Linked DNA regions of Saccharomyces cerevisiae S288C. The gene in region 1 interacts genetically with each later gene. Each region holds a gene or a part of one and is shown in the gene's direction. Other genes may lie near its edges.

Region 1 (5,144 bases):
CTTTCAAAAAAGAAAGAAGAAAATTGGTGAAGAGGAAATGTGCTTTTCTGTTGGAGTTGGTCAACAATATGATGAGGAAGAAGGGAAAGCCGCAAAGACTGGATTTACGCAATGGACTACATTCTCATGTGAAAAAAAGAAGTGCTGCTTCGAAGGTTCGCGACCCTTTCAAGGGACTCGCCGCGATGCAGAGAAAAAAAAAAGAAGAGATAACGTGGGGGCAGCTAAAAAAAGACGAATCGATAATGAGTCCATGACTTGAGCCGGACGGACTTATAATTCGATTCGGGCCTAGGCTTGTACAGCTGAAATAGTGTACAATATAAGGAACTAAACGATCGGAGACCAATCGGAGAGCCGGCAGTTGAATCAGGTGCTTCATCACTGGCATAACCTATCCGCAAACGGCTGATGCAGGTCTCAACGCCCTTCTGGTAAAATCAAAAAAAGTAAAAAAAACGGCTCATGCCAGCTTGCTTCCTGTCAATAGCGGTTGTTGATTTTTTCGCTTCATGCCTAAAAAGAGAAACGAGACACAGAGAGAAAACAAGAATCTAGATTAATAACGTAGGGCAGCGTAACAATAATTTACGCAGAAATGATGTGTATTATTAGGGCATAAATAAATAAATGTATGTATGTGTGTGTATGTATGAGTCGGTGAATGACTTTGGTTTTAGTGATATGAGTAGCCACATCCTTTCCCCACGTGCTTATTTAGCCAGACGTCAACGTTCGGAAATTGCAGTCCACAATGCTTGCACTTCCCCGGCACAACACCTCTATCTTCTTTCTTGGTCTTGGGCGGGTACTCGAAATGCAAAGCCTTTAGGTGATTCTTGAAAGTATCACAGCGCGAAAAAACGCCCGTTTGATGACAGTTTATTGGCTCGAAATAGAGTGATCTAGACTTGTGTGGATACACCTCCATATCCAAATTGATCAGAGTAGAGTTGTAAGGACACTTGAATGCACCTTTAATCTTGTATAGTGATTTCAATTGGTTTTTCTTCAGTAGTTTTGTTTCTTCGGAAGAGGATGAGGCAGCGAGTTTATCGTTTGAGTCGTCGCTGTCGTTGTTTGCGGAGGTGCGGGCAGTGTCATCTTGATCGTCAGCACCACTATTGTTGTCGGACTCCCTTGCGTATATTTGCATAAATTCATCTTTCCAATGGCGCTTCTTGTGCCTTATCAGATCATTGTTCCTGGCAAAGCCGCGTTGACAGATAGGGCACTTATGCGGTCTGTCCTCCGGAGTTAAATGAGTGGATTTATGCGTAGATAGGTTGGCGTAGAAGTTGTGGCAGATGGGGCATTCCTTTTTCTTTCTTTGCTTCGTTATCTTGGCGGAATCCTTTAAAGACGATGAATACCTGCTTGTATGTTCATTAGTCAATGGGGAATGAATAGACGGTAGTGCAGAGGCACTACTACTACTGTTGAGTTGCTGTTGCTGTTGTTGTTTGACGATCAAAGGTGGGAATCCACTAACGGGTAGGCTGGACACGGATTTTGATCTCGGTACGTTATCTACCGCGGTTGGCAATATACTCTGGTGTTGAGTTGGTGGTGAGGGGGTGATGGTTTTGAAACCCGTTGTGTTGTTAGGGTTGCAAAATGTTAGCTCATGTCTGTGATGATCTAGCACTGTTCTTGGCACCGGTGATGTAAAATTGGCATGCAAGGAATTTGATCTGCCGTTAAATTCTCTTTCTGCAACTGTAATTAAATTGGTGAAGGAGGATATGGGTGGCAAAATGACATGGCTTGAGCTGTTGGATGACAGCGGTGTTGGAGAAAGGCTATGAGGGAAATAGCATTTGGAATTATGTGCCAAGGCTGTATTGTCTGTAGGCGAACTCGTGATAGACTGGCATGCAGAGGAGTTATAAGAAGAGTATGATGTAGTTAATGGGGGAGGTGGAGGAGAATTCAGTGTAGAACTGAGGGTAGAGCGCGAAGACGACGTAGTACTGGACAACAATGGCAGTGATGGATCTATCAAATGGTGAATGGTGCCATTGGGAGAAGCCGTTGGGTTTGGCATTTTTTCTGGAGTATCTATAAAGGGAGGGTTTCTCCGTAAAGACATCGTCTCATGGGACATTACTGAGTCAATGCTTGATGCAAAAGATGATGATACCAGCATAGGGGAAGCCAAAGAAAAGAAGTAACAAATATTCCAAGCGCTCCAGTGTTACAGCTACTGCAAACCAAGAAAAGCAACTGACAAGAATTAGATATCCTAATCATAGGGCACCGAATTTACTTCCATGTTTTTTCCAGCTCCACTTAGAATATATATATAAATGTATAAAGACGGAAATATGCGCTTTTGAGAAATAGACAGAATAAAGAACGCACTGATGCAGCTTTAACTTTTAAGAAATGGTGCTTTTTTTTTCGCCCTCTGTTCCTCTGCGGATGGGAGCTATCAGTAGTAGAAAACAAAAGGAAACGAAGAAAAAAAATTGGAAAAGGGAAGAGTAAAACAGCGAGGAGAGCATTACGTACATAAAATAGGTTTAAGTAACCATACCACTAACAATGCCCCTAGGAAGTGACAATCTAGAGATATCCTTGAGAGTTAGCCACGGGCCGTAAGGGAAGGAAAAGACCAATCTAGCAATAAGCGCATGGGGGGTTTCCGACAGCCACTACCAAATTGTGTGGCAGCCAAGCGAGAATCAATGCGGCTATTTGAGATCTGTTCTTTTTCTATTCAAAGACTCGAATGAGGCCAACGAAAGAAGTAGTAAAAAAAATCCGGGATTCCCAATTCAGGTCATATCCGGCAAGACATTCCCGGATTTTATTTTCCTCAATGTGCTCGTGTAAGTGTCGGCCCGGAACTTGATTCCCCCCGGACTAATTAGAAGTTCCGAGAACGCGCGCAAGCCGTCCCGCGCGTAGAAGGCTAAAAAGCAGCCGGAGGAAAAAAAATAACGCAAATGTGGGCTCCCCTTCCCCTGTGCGGCCACGTCGTGCCTCCCCACCATTTGCCTCATATGCGGCCATTGCGTGTGGTGTTTTTTCTGCTCTTGTCACTGATTTTAACTACCGCGGGGTTTGACTAACAAGCAAATTGCAAAGCCGCGGCGGTTCCCGGAAAAAAAAAAAGGAAGGCCACGCTATTGGTAACCATGAAGTGTAAGGCGACGCAGGAGAGATGAAAAGAATGAAATTAAAAGAAATCCAAAAAAAAAAAAAAAAAAAAAAAAGAAAAAGAAAGAAAAAGGGGGAATAACACAGCCGCGGGTAACATGAAGCGGCGCGAGCGATACTTCCGTGTTAAGTGATATCCATCTTTCTGCGGGTAATAAGTCTAGTCAAGTCCGCTGTATTTTTTCTTTCGCTCTCGCTCTCTTTCTCTCTTCGCTCATGGAGCGGTAAAAAAAAAACATGCATATCGAGTCGAAGCCCAGCAAAATTAAAAAAAATATAGCCTTCAGTGGAAACCCAGTGATGCTCGCACACAACGTAATGGAGCATTGAAGAGCTACAGACGGTAGATAAAAAAGAAAAAGAAGCAATACAATAGGTTATTGCATACTATCATAAGCATACAGATAAAGGAGTTCTGCACATACGGTCCCTCTTTCTCTTCCTATTATTCTTCAGTCCCCTCCTCGCTCTTTTTAGATTCGACATTACAAGGTGAAATACTATTGAAGCTCAAAAACATCCATAATAAAAGGAACAATAACAATGGTATCTAGAGGCCCCGACGAATGGCTTGAAACAATAAAGAAATGCCAGGCGCTAACTGAAAACGAGATGAAACAACTGTGTGAAATGGTGAAAGAACTTTTGATGGAGGAAAGTAACATCCAGCCGGTACAGACCCCCGTTACTGTATGTGGAGACATACACGGCCAATTTCATGACTTGTTAGAGCTATTCCGTACGGCGGGTGGCTTTCCTGACGATATAAACTACATTTTTCTCGGTGATTACGTGGATCGTGGCTACTATAGTCTGGAAACTTTTACGCTTTTAATGTGTCTGAAAGTCAAGTACCCGGCAAAGATAACTTTGGTCAGAGGAAACCATGAGTCCAGACAAATTACTCAAGTTTACGGGTTCTACGAGGAATGCCTGAATAAGTACGGATCTACCACCGTATGGAAGTATTGCTGTCAAGTTTTTGATTTCCTGACGCTGGCCGCTATAATTGACGGTAAGATCTTATGTGTCCATGGAGGGTTATCTCCCGAGATTAGAATGCTCGATCAAATCAGAGTCTTGTCAAGAGCTCAAGAAGTGCCACACGAGGGTGGGTTCTCGGACCTGCTTTGGTCAGACCCTGACAATGTAGAGGCTTGGCAAGTTTCCCCTCGTGGTGCAGGATGGCTCTTTGGCAGTAAAGTTGCTAGAGAGTTTAACCACGTTAATGGACTGAACCTTATTGCCCGGGCTCACCAACTGGTTATGGAGGGGTTCAAGTACCATTTTCCTGAAAAGGACGTTGTAACCGTGTGGTCCGCGCCAAATTACTGTTATAGATGTGGTAATGTCGCGAGTGTAATGAAGGTCGATGAGGATCTGGAACCTACTTTCAAAATTTTCTCGGCTGTTCCCGATGACTACATAAGAGAATCCACGGCAAACCATAATAATCAAAGAGCCGGCTATTTCTTATAACACGACGGCATGCCCTCCCTAACTCGACGAATAAAAATAATTTTCACAATAAAAAAAAGACTACAAAAATCAGAAACTTTTTCATTACGCCATTTGCTACGATACGATACACAACAAGCACATTCTAAGAGCATTCCATTTACTATGGTCAAAATGACCAAATAAAAAATTAAAAAAAAAAAGAAGGAATGAGAACTAGTAACTACATATTCAACAATTGCAGTTTTCTTTTCCTTTTTGTCCTTGTCCTTTCTTTCCTATTTATATATATATATATATATATATATAATACTACTATGTTATATTACATTATATTATTATCACAATAATTATTACGTTCATCGTGCCGAAACGTCACCTCCCACGGTTTGGATCTATTGAAAGAGGGTGGAATCCCTGATAATAAAAAAACTTTAATCAACACTCGGGAGGGGAAATATAAAAGACTGGCGCTACTTAAAGAGCTGATTCGCCAAGGCAGAAAAGCATAACCATATTAA
Region 2 (5,140 bases), on another chromosome or scaffold:
TGGTCTTGGGGGCAAAACCCAATGTTTTGAAGTTCTAACCACCAAGCTAGACTTCTTCTTCTTTTTACTGCCATCGTTTTCGAATTCCAGCGAACTATTGTTATGATGGTTGGTATTTGGGGCGATCGGTACAGGCGCCAATGGAATATTATTATGCTCATTTTTAAAATGGTTACTACGAGGGCGACTAGCGGAGGCCTGTAGTAGAAAAGTCTTTGCGGTCATGATTCTTTTTTTGTTTTTTTTTTGTACTAGAAAATGTAGGTAAAACAAATCAGCAACCCATTAAAATGCTCTTTGATGTACTAGGAGACCAATAAATATGTGTGGAAAAAAAATAAAACTGTGTTTTTTCTCTTCCTATGCGTTTGATAATGATCTGCTCAAATAAATAATGACCCTTTTTTATTTTTCTGGTTCCTTTATAGTAGTATTTTTATATTATTAAGTGTAAAGTGGACCTGTAGATAGCATATACGATATAAAACTGGGGTTTAGAGAGGTGAAGGAATTAATAAAGGTAAAAAAATTAAAAGGAAAAAGGAGATGGACCTAAACAACCACACGGGGTTAAGCAAGAAGAAATTGATATAGGAGATTAGTTAATAGCTTTACAATATATATAATTTATCTAAAAACGATCTCATACTCAATAAATTTTTTTAGAGTAGTCTCGGAAAGAAAATAGCAATCCATTTACTTTTAGAACAATCTGCAAAATCGATACATGACACTTGGAAGCAACTGTGAAAAGGCTACGGCCATTGCTTACCGCGTGCAAGATCCGTAACATAAGAAAACTTTAGTCCTTGATGAAAGAAAATTTTCGTTTTTTTTTTCAGGTTCAGCGGGCTTAACCTCGTTTGCCGCCTCGGCCCCGCTCCGTTGTGCTGGCCATCTGTGCGCGGCGGGCTTCCCCCCCGTCGCTACTTCCGGATTAAACTTTTAGACTTCGGACCCCTGCCCCGGGGGGTTTCTCTGAACGCCGGGGTAGTGGTCCAAAGCCCACGAAACGCGTGTTCCTCTCAGCGGCATTGGAGTGAATAAAGCCCGCAGGACAGCCTTTTTTTTCCGGGCTGCACGACCGAATCAACTTGTCGCTCTATTCCTCCGTTGTTCCCGATTTGTAGCTCGGGGCCGACTCGCTTTTTGGCCAAGAAAATTGAGGAAAGCCCGTATTGCGGAGAAGGTTCTTATGTATTTGCCGTGCGATCAACCTCCGGGGCCCGGGTTTCAAATTCCGGCAATCATCCATGCCTAGTTTTGGAAATTCTCAGCAGAGGTTATCCCGTAAGGTGAAAAAAAGACATAAACGGTTTTTGCCTACAGTTTCCGGCAAAATAGTGATCTCATAGTACATCACTACTGCGAAGTCACCGGCCCGTACAGAAAAAGTATATCTTTAAATAGCGGCCCTACCTCTGCTTCTACCTACTTCATATTCGAATTCTTTTCTCGCCTTCCGCAGTGTTTCGCAAATCTGGACCTACGCACTAAATCATTTATGATTGTTCTCTCTTTCACGTGATAAGGTTTGCATTCTATTCGTTACCCTATTAATTATTACTATTTTTTTCAGCATGAGTTTTATTTCGCACATAAAATGCATCTATTTCTGGATATTACTGTAGTTTTCTTTGCTTTTCGCCTACCGCGCGGCGAAAAGTCGTATCAATCAATATGTGCCACTGCTATCATCCCTTGATAGAGTACAACGTAAAAGAGGCATTGTAGCATATTCACCCCGCTTGATAACTAGATTTTTTAGGCAAGAGTTGCGCACAGCGTACTGTGCACTACGGTATACAGAATTACACAATTGATACTTATTCTCTCCTTCATTGTTGCTCTGTTTCCGTTGTTTAAACTTTATCCAAAAACTCTGTTTTCTGTTTATTGAACCCCTTGCTTTCGCAAGCAAGCCCGACATATACGAACAGAACTGGGGAGAGGGAGTCTTATGCTGTACAACTCATGTAACCCCCACTATCTCAGGAGTTATATTAAATCAAGGCACGCCAGTGCTGCCTCTCTTGGTACGACAAACAAGTTTTTCCCGATTCTAGGTATTGCATTACATAATATCAACCCTTTGTTGTTTTCTTTTGATTTTTGAAAAGAAATATCTCATACCAACCGGAAAGGAAAAAGGACACAATTTGGGAAAATAGGCAATTTATTATGTACACAAGTCATAACCAAGAAAAAAGTAAGGGTAAAACAAGCAATTACTGAACTTGTTTCATGAGACTCATATCCAGAAGCATATTTATATAAGGAAATATTAGTTGCAAATCATTATGTCATTCCTTTCGCACACCCGATATGCTAAAAACAGCATACATGCACACTGCGCTTGGCTTGGACATATTCTCTCTGCATATGATGGAAAAAAAATCTTTTTTTTTCTTTTTCTTTGACTTTTTGCCGTTTTGTCATCGTCATCGCGATGGAAAAAGAAATGAAGAATACTTGATGAACAGGTGAAACTTGAACAATAACGTATCAGAATGAGGGTAAAGGGACCTTGTAAAACTTTTGAAAAAACTAAACAGGCAATTTAGTAAGAAGATGCCACTGGTGCTTTTTACGGGATACCCATGTAGTGGTAAGACAACGCTTGCTAAACATTTGGTACAACTACTACAGTCCAAGATCGATGCAACCCCATCATTAAGTAAATATTCCATAACCTATCATTCAGATGAATCTTTAGGCATAAAACATTCAGATTATATAACTTCCCAAGATGAAAGAAAATTGAGGTCGGAGATCATCTCCGCAGTGAAAAGAGATCTATCTAAAAACAAGATAGTCATTGTAGACTCGTTGAATTATATCAAGGGTTTCCGGTATCAACTTCACTGCGAGGTGAAAAATTTGTCCACCACATTTTGTGTAATTCAAACACTGTGTCCACCAGAGACTATATTCGAGTGGAATAAGACTTCAAACCCGAACCCTTGGGAACCCGAGTTATTGAATCAATTGATTCAACGATACGAAGAGCCTAACTCAAGCAACCGATGGGACTCTCCACTCTTTGCTATTCTTACTCCTCAGGACAACATAACTGACTACATCGACGATATTTGTAAAGTAGTCTTTCAAACTTCCAAATCGGCTAAAAACAGTGGACACAATGATCCGTTGAGTAAGGGCTTACAAAAACCGAACTCAGCCACGGTACTAAAGCCTGCGTCTCAGTCCAATTTCATCCAGGTTCTCGACATCGAAACTAGTAAGATAATAAAAACCATAATGAACCACATCAAAAGCCTGACTTCTATTGGCGGGGTAAGTAACGGAACAAGAGTCATTGTTTCCGAAGGGATTACCGATATCAATGATGATGGTTGCTTCTTCGTAGACTTGCCCATTGGTAACGTCGTTACGTTGGCGCAATTGCAGAGATTGAAAAGGCAATTCATTAACTTCAACAAACTAAGAGATATAGATCAAGATAGGATCGGTCCGCTTTTCGCTGATTATCTTAACAAAAACTTGAATTGAGATATACATGTGATTAATATCAGAAGGTAAATGGCAAGACGAAATTTGCTTGTTTATAATACAAAAAAACATACATAAGATATAATATATATTTCAATAGAAAAGAAAAAGTATAGAAAAGTGAATAAACAAAAGAAACATGAGAAAAATAGCTCGTCTTCTCAACTGGGTATCTATTGACCTCTTAATTCTGGTTGAATGTTTTCATCAGAAAGGTCTTCTTCATCATCGGCTTTCCCTATTAGTCCAGCAACATCTTCTTCATCGTGATGAGGTTGGCTATGATGGTTATTATGATGAGTTGTGTTCTTATTATACTGCGATTCTACATCCACGTCCACCATTACATCGTCTACGTCATCATCATTATTCTGGTGTAGATTCTCTACCTCTTTCAAATGCGATGACAGTAACCTTAACTGTTCCGCCACTTCATGTGGTAGTTTGTCGTCTTCATTTCTCTCTTCCAGTGTGATATCTGACAAATGCTGTCTTTTGGACTTGTGAGCATCTTCTGAATCCATATCGTTGATCAAGTTTTCATCTACCACGTTTCTCGACGAATTGTTATGGCCATCACCATTCTTGTCATCAATGGACCTCTTATAAGAATTGATCTTGTCTATGGCTAACTGAGCAGTTTCACGAGCTTCTTGAGCGTCTACTTCAGCCAAGGTTGGGTGGACATTTTCATTACCGCCATCGTTTGATTCATCTAGGCCAACCATGGACACGTCTGAATGAGTTATTTGATCTGGCTTGCTCCATTTATTGACGCTTGGCATCTTCTTGGGTTGATACCGGTGACTAGAGGTTTTATCTAGCACACTTTCCATTAAATTTGAGGCGTCATTATTATTGTTGCCGTTATTATCGTCATTACTGTCATTCTTGTTATTATTCACATTTTTGGTTGTGTTCGATGAGGTACCCGCACTTGATATTTCCTGATGTTTGGCGTAGTCGATAGAGTTACTTCTCAAGTTCGTGCCAGAAAGCTCACCATCGTTGTTATTGTTGTTATTGGAAGATGAAGAAGGTTGTAAATCATTATACTCGCCCATTTTTTTCTTTTTCAAAACAAATCTTGCTTTATACGTCGTTATACGTCTGGCTATTTGGGAAAGTAACCTTTTTTCGAAATCTTCGGCGGTTAATCCATATCTTTGCATTAAAATGTCTAAAAGACCGGACTCCTCCACGTAATGAGAAACTTTAAATTTACTCACTGTATGGTTAGAATTATTGTAAGAGCTTTCTAGTATTTGATCAAACTTTAAATCGTTTTGTAAAATCTTTGGAATCTTAGTTAGGATAAATTTACCCAGTGACAAGTTATCTTCTAGTGGGTGACTATGATAGGGCTCAATTTTGGTAACGACAAATGGGCCCGGTATATCATCGGTAGCAGAATTGAAGACGTCTAAATTCATAGACGTGTCTCGTATGGAGGATGGTGAGTGGGAGGAAATGCCGTGGCTACCGACATTGTTGTTATTGATATTGCTGTTATTGTTGTGATCGTTATTAGTATTATTATCTTGGCCATCATTGTTGTTAGTGGCATCATCGTCTTTTCCATCGTGCTTATTGTTTGATTGAGAATCTACATTTGCGACGGCATTGG
Region 3 (5,806 bases), on another chromosome or scaffold:
GGTGAATTCTGTGAGAGTGGCCCCACCATTTAGCGGACCCTTCAACGGAAGCACAACCGAAGATAGCGTAGAATAATCTCAATGGCCAGTGAGCGGAGTAAGATCTGTGAGACCATAATCTATGGTAACCGGCAGTAATAGAAACACCACCGACAGCGTAGTAGAAAACGGAGAAAAGGAAAACGTTTAAATGCAAAGGCACTTTACCAGAGAGAGCAAAGTACCAACCAATCATTGGCATACCACAAACAAGAACCATGTTCAACCAGTTCAAATGTTGGTGCCAGTTATTCAAAGTCCATGGTTGTTCGGAGATGTGAATTTTAGTTTTAGCTTCTTCTTTTTCTTGGTTGTCCTTTTCTAGCAGACGATCCAAATTGGACTTCTTTTCGTTTCCCTTCTTGTCGAATTCCACGGAAACCATTTCCTTGGAGCCCATTAAAGAACCAAAACCGTTGACAATTCTTGGTGCTTTCTTATTCAAACCAGTAGCCAAAATATTAGCTTCCGTTAAGTCGACTTCGTCGACAATGCCACTGCTGGCAGAGTCATCCTTTGGAAATTGGTCGTCAATCAATTCAATAGTAGTTCCAGAAGTTGGCATCTTTGTTGTAATGTTTTAGTGCTGTTTATAATATGATCACCACAACTATCTATTACTATGATGTTCTATTCTACGTAATACAAAATATAAACGGAAACAGAAGTAGGAAAGATGGAAATAGAACAATAAATGAATCAAGATCTGCCCCCATATATATATGTATATGCTGATTTGCAAGACTCGATGAGCCAGGAGCCGATGATTTGCTGCATATATTGTTAACTACTATTATTTCCACCTTTGTGTGCCATCCCCATAGCCGTAACAATAGGGATAGGTGTGTCTGAGTGAGCAAGACTCGTAGAAGCACACCTGGTTGGGCACTAGATAAGGTTTGTTGAGTGTTCAACGTCCGAAAGAAAGCTGCCGACTATGCGAAGAGAACCTTAAGCCGTTATTACCTCTGCCTGTCACAGGCGATGTGATGCTAACGAACAGCACCAGAGCCAAGCCAACTGGGGCGGTCTGCAGAGAAGGCTGGGATACCCGAAATAGCTCGCTCAACAGCTTTTTTTCTTCTACGGAAGCCCACCAGATAAGCGCCTTTGTTGGGCCCGCTAACCCCGGGACATGCCCGGGCTCGGAGTTAGTTTTTGGCCACCGGGCGCCCGAAAAATGCTTCAGAAAAGAGCCATAGTCACGGAGAATCTTGACGTGCATAATGATTAGATATGACACCCTCATTCTCATTTGGATTTATTATCACGTGATGGTATAACCCGGACTGGAACTACATATCCGCTAATCCTTGACTTATTTCCATGTGTCATTTATTTTTTTTTTTTTTTTTTTTCCTTTTTTTTTTCCGCCCGGCAAATGAAATGAAAAATGGGTGATGGAGAAACCATGAGGTTTTTGAGAAATTTCACAGATGACTATAAACTTAGCGATATCATCTCGTACAGAAAAGTAACCAAACCTGCAAACGAAAAGCTTACTTTTGTTAAAAGCGTATCAAGCTAGCGATACGAATACCTCAGAACATCATCTTTTCAGCAAGACCCACCCAATGCCTCAAAATACAAGACACACGTCCATCGTAGAAATGCTTTCTACCCCACCTCAATTACCGAATTCCACAGATTTAAATAGTTTGAGCGAACAGACAGACAAGAACACTGAAGCAAACAAAAGCGACACAGAATCACTACATAAATCTATTTCGAAATCGTCATCTTCATCTTCTCTCTCCACGCTGGATAACACGGAATACTCAAACAATAATGGCAACTCCTTGTCCACCTTGAATTCACAGAATCTGTTATCTGTTCATAGGCAGGAGTGGCAACACACTCCTCTGTCAAATTTGGTGGAACAGAACAAATTGATTTTCATCAGAGGTTCTATTTCCGTAGAGGAAGCATTCAACACGCTGGTCAAGCACCAGCTAACGTCTTTGCCTGTGGAGAATTTTCCGGGAGACATGAATTGTTTAACATTCGACTATAATGATCTCAATGCGTACCTTCTTCTTGTATTAAACAGGATCAAGGTGAGCAACGACAAGATAACCTCAGACTGCCAGAATGGTAAGTCCGTGCCCGTGGGCGAGATAGTAAAGTTGACACCTAAGAATCCATTCTACAAATTGCCCGAAACGGAAAACTTATCGACGGTAATAGGCATACTAGGCTCAGGTGTGCATCGTGTTGCCATCACGAACGTGGAAATGACACAGATTAAAGGTATACTTTCCCAACGTCGATTGATTAAGTATCTGTGGGAGAATGCGAGATCATTTCCCAACTTGAAGCCTCTCTTGGACTCTTCCCTGGAGGAGCTGAATATTGGTGTACTAAATGCAGCCCGTGATAAACCTACATTCAAGCAGTCACGTGTCATATCCATCCAAGGTGACGAGCATCTAATTATGGCTCTGCATAAAATGTATGTCGAAAGAATCTCTTCCATTGCGGTAGTTGACCCGCAGGGAAACTTGATTGGTAATATTTCAGTAACAGACGTCAAACACGTCACCAGAACTTCACAATATCCTTTATTACACAATACATGTCGTCATTTTGTCTCGGTTATTTTGAATTTAAGGGGCCTAGAGACCGGTAAGGACTCATTTCCTATTTTCCATGTGTATCCAACAAGTTCCCTGGCAAGAACGTTTGCCAAATTGGTCGCTACCAAATCTCACAGATTATGGATAGTACAACCAAATGACAATCAACCAACAGCATCTTCCGAAAAATCCTCATCTCCATCACCAAGTACTCCACCCGTAACGACATTGCCATCGCTTGCGTCGTCATACCATTCGAACACGCAATCTTCCAGGATGGCCAACTCTCCTGTTCTAAAATCTTCAGATACATCAAACAATAAAATAAATGTAAATATAAATTTGAGTGGTCCCTCACCTTCTCAACCACAGTCTCCATCGGCCACAATGCCACCACCTCAAAGTCCAAGTAATTGTCCCGCATCTCCAACTCCAGCACATTTCGAAAAGGAGTATAGAACAGGTAAATTGATAGGTGTTGTGTCATTGACTGACATATTAAGTGTTTTGGCAAGAAAACAAACGCATCATAAGGAAATTGATCCGCAGATGGCAAGAAAGCAAAGAGGGCATATAGGCTGAAACAAACCAGACGAAAAAAACTGGCTTCATTTAACTACATATACATATATAAGGGTTTTTCTGATTTTTATTTTATCCCAATAAAGTTTGATTTTTTTTTTTTTACTTTTATTATGCACTGGGGCGAGGTTTTTAGGCCCTTTCTTTTCTTAGAGGAAATATATACACATGTTCTCGCTAAAATCAGTTAAAAGGTCCGATTGAGATGGTACTGTCAAATGTTAAAATCTTCAGATTAAAATCGCATAGAGCCTTCAGAATCGGTCCCATGATTAAAGCAGTCGCAGGAAATCTTTTGGTAAAGAGATTTTATCAACCAAAATTAGAAAGAATTCCACCGGCTTCACTGCTTTTGAAGCAGAAAATACGGTTAGCTCAAAATGGCAGTACTACATCTACAGAAAACCCCATTTCCTTCTCACAGACCATGTCCGAGATATTTAGCGTCTTGCAGCCAAGTGCACCAGATCTAGATGAAGACGAAACAAGTGGTTTGAAACGCGATCATTTATTAACTGAGCGTCTAAACAACGGCGAGCTTGGTGTCATTATGAACAAATTCTTCAATCCGTCTTCGACACATAACAATCAGTTGATAGATACGAATATATTACTTCAGAATTTTCCTAAGTTAAGTGGTAATGACTTAGATTTATTGGATTTTGCCATAAATGAGAAAATGCGAGGAAACTGGAATGATCTAAAGCAAGATTTCATTCAGTTGTGGTACTACAAGTCATTTGGCTTTCTTGGACCTCGAACTCAATTTGTCCTGACAAACTCTTCTCCGTCAGTTAGGTCCCAATTCTTGAAACTTCCATTCATCGAATATAATTGGTTTCTCCTACAAAATAACAAAAACGCAAATATACTACCTGCTGATGTGCAAAACGTGGTCAAGGTGTTTCATCTTGATGATAAAAGGTTTACTTGGAAGAGCATAGATCCATTCAGCAAAGCTATAATTTCATTCGTCGTTTTTGTTTCCATATATGTGTGGTTGGATGAAAGTGCAAAACAAAAAACGAAGGAGCTGCCCGCACAGAAGAGTACTGTAATATCAGAATAAAAAAAAATGGGGTCACTCTTCATTCTTGCAGTTAAAAGTGCCACTCACTCATGATTTTTTTTTTTCCTGTTTTTTTGATTTTTTTTATATATTATACATTAAGTTATCTAAGTAAATATATTCTTTCTACTCTAAATAAGTATTCCTTGAATCAAACACAAAAGATACGGGTATCGGCAGTTATAACCGATAACAAATTGTCCTTATTTCTCATTTCACGTTATTTTCTCCAAAGAAATTTATGGTAGAGCAGTGTTTCTTTTTAGTATATTATTTATATGCAATGTTTCTATCATTATTAAATTTTCTTTACGGTATAAAGTAGAAGATGGAGGAATAGAAAGCAAACGGATCGATAGAGAAAGAAACTCACGATGAAGCCCTATATTTGATTGAACAAAAAGGTAATCGAATTCATAATATCGGCTCGGCATTCATCATTAAGATTCTTTTGATTTTTCTCAGTCTGCTTCGTCGTCGTCGTCGTCGTCATCATCATCATCATCATCGTCCATATCGTCCATATCATCCTCCCAAGATTTCTCTACCGTCTCCTTAACTCTTTTGACGTACTGTGATTTATGATCTTTGAATAATGTTGCAGCTTCAACGTTTGCTGGCGAAGCTGGATTTGGATCGTTGAATAAACTTTGAATGGATGTCAATATGGATGCGACATCATATGTTGGAGTCCATCTGTTCTGCAAAATATCCAAACAAATTTCACCATTTGCATAGACATTGGGATGAAACATTTCACTCAAAAATTTGACATGCGGTGGCTTATTGGGATATTCTTCATCAAACTCCAACAATAACCTAAAAGTTCCGTCTTCATATGGAGTATCGGCTGGCCCGATAATCATGGCGTTCCATACCATGACGTTATCAGGTAATGGTGAAGCAGATACACCCGGTGGGGCATCTTCCTTCATACGTTTAAAATCTCTCATCAACCTTCTTCTAGCTGGTGTGGACATGACGCTTTATCTTTTAGTCTCTGTCTGCCTAAAAATAATCTTTGGAATTCGATCTTCGTTGATTTTCCACTCTACTATTTATGTCATCAACTCTGCAACTTGATAGTTCTTTCCTTTTTTTCTCTTACACATTCCATTCGCTTTCATTTTTATTTTTCCAGCTTTCTACTCCGGCTACCCGGAGGTGCCTTTTTGTATATACATACACTAATCCGGGAAATGTAGTCACCATACTAATATTCCGAATATGTATTTGTTCCTTGGTATATAGTGTAAGCATGGTTAGCTCACACTTTATCTAATTGTAGTTTCTTCGTATGCTTCATCAAGTTGCCTAATTTTAATACAACATCGGTACCATATCCAGGCATTGAATGCAATGAAAGGTCGCCGTTCCAATATTCAGCATACACTTTACACATGGCTAACCCAATCCCAAGCTTGTATCTAAAAGACCGCTTTAACAATTCAATTAGGGGAGTTTCATATTTGATGTGCCCATTTATGATGCTAGGATAACTCATTGGTTCTAGCGACGTGTGCATGTACGGTTTTAATGT
Region 4 (5,694 bases), on another chromosome or scaffold:
ATGTCTGAATTGCTCCTCAGATATCAAATATTGATCCGGTGGTAGGTACTGGGCATAGCCTAAAGCACCTTGTCCACGCGGGATGATGCTTACTTTCAGAAGTGGATCCGCATATTTTAGAAACCAACCACAAACGGCATGTCCTGCCTCATGATAGGCCACTGACCTTTTTTCTTCCTTAGAAAGGACTCTTGTTTTCTTCTCTAGTCCCGCAATGACTCTTTCAATGGCTTGCTCAAAGTGATGGATAGTGATATATGGGTCATTATGTCTGGCAGCGATTAATGCAGCCTCATTACAAGCATTAGCGATATCTGCACCAGTAAAACCTGGAGTAAGCGTAGCCAATTTCCCAGAAAGATTATTCATATCATCTGTAAGAAGGGGATCCAGATTCAGTCTTTTCAAGTGAACCAGGTATATTTGCTGCCTACCATTGACATCAGGAGAATCAATTTGGATATGTCTATCGAACCTTCCCGGTCTCATCAAAGCATTATCCAACACATCGGGCCTATTTGTACCCGCAAGGACTACGACTTGGTCGGAAGTAGTGAATCCGTCCATTTCCACCAATAATTGATTCAGCGTAGCTTCTCTTTCATCGTTAGCGCCACCGAGAGCGCCGCCTTTGCCTCTTTCTTTACCGATAGCGTCAATTTCATCTATAAAGATAATCGAGGGGGCCATAGACCTTGCTTGAGTAAACAAGTCTCTTACACGTGAAGCACCCACCCCAACGAACATTTCGACGAACTCAGAACCTGATACTGACAAGAAGGGCACGTTCGCCTCACCTGCGGTGGCCTTGGCCAAGAGAGTCTTACCGGTACCTGGGGGTCCAGAAAGAATAGCGCCTCGTGGAATCTTGGCACCCAATTTAGTGTACTTACCTGGGTTCTTCAAAAAGTGAACAAATTCCATGATTTCCTGTTTAGCTTCATCACAACCGGCAACATTTTTAAATGAAATTTTAATGTCTGTTTCCTTATTGAAGAGCTTTGCTCTGGATTTTCCAACATTAAACATGCCGCCGAGGCCTCCTCCACCACCACCATTGGCATTTGGTGGTGAACTATTTATTTTTCTGGTTATGAAGTAAAGGCCACCAAGCAGAATGATGGTGGGCAGGAAGGGGAACAAAAATGTGAAGGGAGAAGATCTCTCAATGTATTTGATGGGGATACGATCCCGAGGAGGAATGTTCAAGAGGTCCTGGATCTGGTCCATCTGTTCCTCAAAAATATCTACTGAACCAATGGTGAACGATACAACTTGCTTTGTATTGACTAATTCGGCCTCTACGAGAAACTTATTAACGACGTAAATCTTGGACACAAGACCCTTCTCCAGGTATTTTGTTTTGAAATCCTGGAAAGTCAAGACGCGGTTAGAGTCGTCTCCTGAGTTGTTACTGGAAGGTGTGAGCAAAGTAAATATAATTGTGAATCCGATGGTCAAAAACATCGTATTAGCAAATTCCTTAGATCTGAAGTATTCTGATAATGAACCAAACTCATTTCTTTTGTCTTTGCCATCTTCTTTATTGCTATTATTATCTTTATTACCATTGTTCTTGCCCTCACCCTCTTTGTTTGGCCTATTTTCATTTAACCTTGTCCATGAGATATGGAAGGAACGTATTTGGGTAGAACGGTGTATTGTGTTTCTGGTTGCCAGACCAGATAACGTCTGCAAACGCTGGTGAACTGGCATGCGCGAGCGAAGCACTGGCTTCACTGTTGATATGCGGCTAGCTTTACCAAATGAGAGTGATGTCAATGAGCGTGGCGCACCCCTTGCATATCGTTGCCACATCATCATCACTTAGTATATTATAAAATAAGTGGATGATGCCTTTATTTGAAGACTGCGTTAATCTCCTTTAATATAGAATGGGTCCTTGTAAAAGTTATGTATAGACAGTAAGAACCAATTTATTCCTCATCTAAATCATAGGCCCAGAATAAACTGAACAGATGCGTATAAAGGCGTTATAAAGATGCCAGAAGCATATCGCGGGCCACGACTAAAAATGCCGCGAGGTCGCCCTGGACGGTAAGCACGTGCTCAAGTGTTGCCCGACTCTTGGGGTCCAGCGCCGGGTGAGAGTTTCCGATCACGTGGTCTCCGTGCATCGCGACTTCGATCCAGCAGCGTGAATCATCGCCGAATACGAAACGTACGTCATGCACATCGCTGGCTCCGGGTAGTACACGAAGCTGCAACAGCCGTTCGTACAGTGCGACCTCTGCGGCATCGTTACCCGACTGCGCAGCCCAACGTGCGCGTAATTGGACACACTCTTTACCACGCTGTTGCAGCAGCGAGTCCAGCTCGCGCGATTGGGCTGCTAAGGTCGACTGCCGTCTAGATAACTCAGATTCACGCTCGTGATAGCTTCTCCACTGCTCTCTGGTGGTATTTGTAGCTTGTTGGGCCGCATGTATTTGTTGCTGCAGAGCGGTGCGCTGGGTGGCAAGCCGTTGCAGTTCATCTATGAGATGTTGGTGTTGGTTATGTAATTGACGCATTTCCGCTTGGAACTGTTGCAGCTGTTGGCGCGCGTGGTTTTGCTGACGTGCCAGTACCTGGGCCACGTCCTTTTGGAACCCGTCCATCCGGCGCTCAAGGTCCGAAAATGCGTCTATGCTGGCCATTCTTGTATGTGTGTATGTGTTGTATACGTATGAGCGGTTTTAATTGAATCGGCTTAGCCTGTTTTTGTTTTTGTTTTTGTTTTGTTTTGGTTTGGTTTGATTTATTTTGGTTTGGCTTAAATCTTCGAGGAAATTTGCGCTTTCCGCGTAAAAAGGGAAAAAAAGCAGATATATGTACAACAGAAAAGACAGAGATGTTCACGAGAGGAAGGAAGATGGTCAATCTGAGTTTGAAGCACTGAACGGGACCAACGCAATTATGTCCGATAATAGTAAAGCGTATTCCATAAAGTTTCTGACCTTCAATACATGGGGGTTAAAATACGTCTCCAAACACCGTAAAGAAAGACTCAGAGCAATTGCTGATAAATTGGCGGGCCACTCAATGCTTACGCCAATATCTGACGAGTTGTTGCCCAATGGTGGAGATAGTAATGAAAACGAAGATTACGACGTGATTGCCTTACAAGAAATCTGGTGTGTGGAAGACTGGAAGTATCTAGCTTCTGCGTGTGCCTCCAAGTATCCGTATCAGCGTTTGTTCCATTCTGGTATTCTGACGGGGCCTGGGTTGGCCATACTGTCCAAGGTCCCGATAGAGTCGACCTTTCTTTACCGGTTCCCGATAAACGGTAGACCGAGTGCGGTGTTCCGTGGCGACTGGTACGTAGGGAAATCTATAGCAATCACCGTATTGAACACAGGAACCCGCCCCATTGCAATAATGAACAGTCACATGCACGCCCCATACGCCAAGCAGGGTGATGCCGCCTACTTGTGCCACAGATCTTGTCAGGCCTGGGATTTCAGCAGGCTCATTAAGCTTTACAGGCAGGCCGGTTATGCGGTGATTGTGGTGGGTGACTTAAACTCCAGACCGGGCTCACTGCCCCACAAATTTCTCACGCAGGAGGCCGGCCTGGTCGACTCCTGGGAGCAATTGCATGGGAAGCAAGACTTGGCGGTGATCGCTCGTCTGTCTCCATTGCAACAATTGCTTAAGGGCTGTACCACGTGCGATTCGCTGCTCAACACATGGAGGGCCCAAAGACAACCCGATGAGGCATGCAGGTTGGATTATGCTCTTATCGACCCTGATTTCTTGCAAACAGTAGACGCAGGTGTCAGGTTCACTGAACGGATCCCTCACCTGGACTGCAGTGTCTCTGACCATTTTGCATACTCATGCACCCTTAACATCGTCCCACAGGGCACAGAGTCCCGTCCATCCACCTCCGTTAAGCGTGCGAAGACTCATGATAGAGAGCTGATCTTGCAGAGATACTCCAACTACGAAACCATGATAGAATGCATCCACACGTACTTGAAGACAGCCCAAAGACAGAAATTTTTCCGTGGCCTACATTTCTGGGCCTCAATACTTCTCCTAATAGCGTCGTTGGTCGTGACAACGTTTACTGCAAACAAGGCAGGCTGGTCCTCCATCTTCTGGGTCCTTTTCGCTATTGCTGTCTCCATCTCGGGCACCATCGACGGTGCCATCTCCTTCTTGTTTGGCAGGTCTGAAATCAGAGCCCTCATCGAAGTCGAACAAGAGGTTCTGGACGCGGAGCACCACCTGCAAACTTTCTTGAGCGAGAAATGATATTATCGATTTTCTTTAGCATATGTAAAAAAATTACTGATATTATATAATGTGTGTAAATTTCGTCAATAGATGCAAAGCAATCACGGAGAAGATGAAACCGACAGATAGGAACAATACGACAAGGGAGTCGACTCTGAATCCATTGGCTTCGTCCGTATATAACTTCAAAATTGAGCTTGAAGACCCACCGTAACCAGCCTGTCTGGTGGAAGTGGGCGTTTGTTTTGCTTGCTTTTCCTTAATGGATTGTGCCTGTCTTCTCTTCTGCAAGATACGCTGACCTCCTGGTGGAACTGAAGCTGCCATTCTTATGATACTGTTGATCGATAATACCACCTGTTTTATGCTTTGCGCCCCTTACCTTTTCTCACACGCACATATATCTACTCTCTCATACCTCTTATATCTAAAATGTCTCTTTTGGCCAGTTAGTAACTGAATGAAAAAGTGAAAATGGAGGAAAAAAAAAAAGACGAAATCCAAAAGGCTAAGGAAACGGGTAACCCGTGGTACCCGGGGCAGAATCAAACTTATAATTACTAAAGATATACCATATATTACGATCCCTGCGCCCGGCGTGCTCCACATTAAGTAAATGTCTGGAGTAAAATGAAGTCCGCCAATTCAGTCACAAAACATGACTACTGCCTCGTTCGCGATTTCTTCTTCCCTTACTTCATCATGTTCAAGCCCCCTCAGCTGCGCCCAAATGATTCTTCTTATCCTCTTGCATACTGCACCGAAAAAAAAAGTTAATAAGCAGCAGGATTTATAGGCGCGTGCGTGCAGCCTTAGACTGAAGGGGTGGAAAAACTTTAGGTAGGTTTGGTTCTCACTACCCAAAGAGCAATCGATAGGTATAAAAGTGAGCAATTGCTATCACAGCGAGCCTTATTGTTACAGCACAAATCACGCGTATTTTCAAGCAAATATCATGGGTCTCTGCGCATCTTCAGAAAAGAACGGCAGCACTCCTGACACGCAGACCGCCAGCGCTGGTAGTGACAACGTTGGCAAAGCGAAGGTACCACCAAAGCAGGAGCCACAGAAGACTGTGAGAACAGTCAACACAGCAAATCAACAAGAAAAGCAACAACAGAGGCAGCAGCAGCCGTCTCCGCATAATGTTAAGGACCGCAAGGAGCAAAACGGGAGCATTAATAACGCGATATCTCCCACGGCTACGGCAAATACAAGCGGATCGCAACAGATCAATATCGACTCTGCCCTGAGAGACAGGTCGAGTAACGTTGCAGCACAACCATCATTGTCGGACGCTTCAAGTGGCAGCAACGACAAAGAACTGAAAGTGCTACTGCTGGGTGCCGGTGAAAGTGGTAAGTCCACGGTATTGCAGCAGTTGAAGATTTTACACCAGAACGGGTTTAGCGAGCAGGAAATTAAAGAGTACATCCCCTTGATCTA

Evidence for each region.
Region 2: of SIT4 (region 1) and KTI12, a mutation in one rescues a mutant of the other (synthetic rescue), as found in Saccharomyces cerevisiae (one study listed by BioGRID).
Region 3: of SIT4 (region 1) and SDS23, a mutation in one rescues a mutant of the other (synthetic rescue), as found in Saccharomyces cerevisiae (2 studies listed by BioGRID, with this or other methods).
Region 4: of SIT4 (region 1) and ISC1, changing one suppresses a phenotype caused by changing the other (phenotypic suppression), as found in Saccharomyces cerevisiae (4 studies listed by BioGRID, with this or other methods).

The regions. Positions count from the first base shown.
Region 1 is NC_001136.10:366,063-371,206, forward strand, and holds SIT4 (type 2A-related serine/threonine-protein phosphatase SIT4), read left to right. Parts: upstream 1-3,708; coding exon 3,709-4,644; downstream 4,645-5,144. Other genes in the region: STP4 (Stp4p), read right to left, coding at 677-2,149. UniProt on the Saccharomyces cerevisiae protein: Involved in the dephosphorylation of the large subunit of RNA polymerase II. Is required in late G1 for normal G1 cyclin expression, bud initiation and expression of certain genes that are periodically expressed during late G1.
Region 2 is NC_001143.9:227,312-232,451, reverse strand, and holds KTI12 (Kti12p), read left to right. Parts: upstream 1-2,571; coding exon 2,572-3,513; downstream 3,514-5,140. Other genes in the region: transcription factor HAP4, read right to left, coding at 1-225; DNA-binding protein ABF1, read right to left, coding at 3,687-5,140. UniProt on the Saccharomyces cerevisiae protein: Elongator complex-associated factor that is not a structural subunit but rather transiently contacts the complex.
Region 3 is NC_001139.9:393,426-399,231, reverse strand, and holds SDS23 (Sds23p), read left to right. Parts: upstream 1-1,613; coding exon 1,614-3,197; downstream 3,198-5,806. Other genes in the region: OLE1 (stearoyl-CoA 9-desaturase), read right to left, coding at 1-604; GEP7 (Gep7p), read left to right, coding at 3,403-4,266; E2 ubiquitin-conjugating protein RAD6, read right to left, coding at 4,728-5,246; protein kinase PKP2, read right to left, coding at 5,534-5,806. UniProt on the Saccharomyces cerevisiae protein: Involved in DNA replication and cell separation during budding.
Region 4 is NC_001137.3:189,965-195,658, forward strand, and holds ISC1 (inositol phosphosphingolipid phospholipase), read left to right. Parts: upstream 1-2,832; coding exon 2,833-4,266; downstream 4,267-5,694. Other genes in the region: AAA family ATPase AFG3, read right to left, coding at 1-1,824; kinetochore-associated Ndc80 complex subunit SPC25, read right to left, coding at 1,995-2,660; Arf family guanine nucleotide exchange factor SBH2, read right to left, coding at 4,309-4,575; GPA2 (guanine nucleotide-binding protein subunit alpha), read left to right, coding at 5,204-5,694. UniProt on the Saccharomyces cerevisiae protein: Responsible for the hydrolysis of the phosphosphingolipids (IPS), inositol phosphorylceramide (IPC), mannosylinositol phosphorylceramide (MIPC), and mannosyldiinositol phosphorylceramide (M(IP)2C).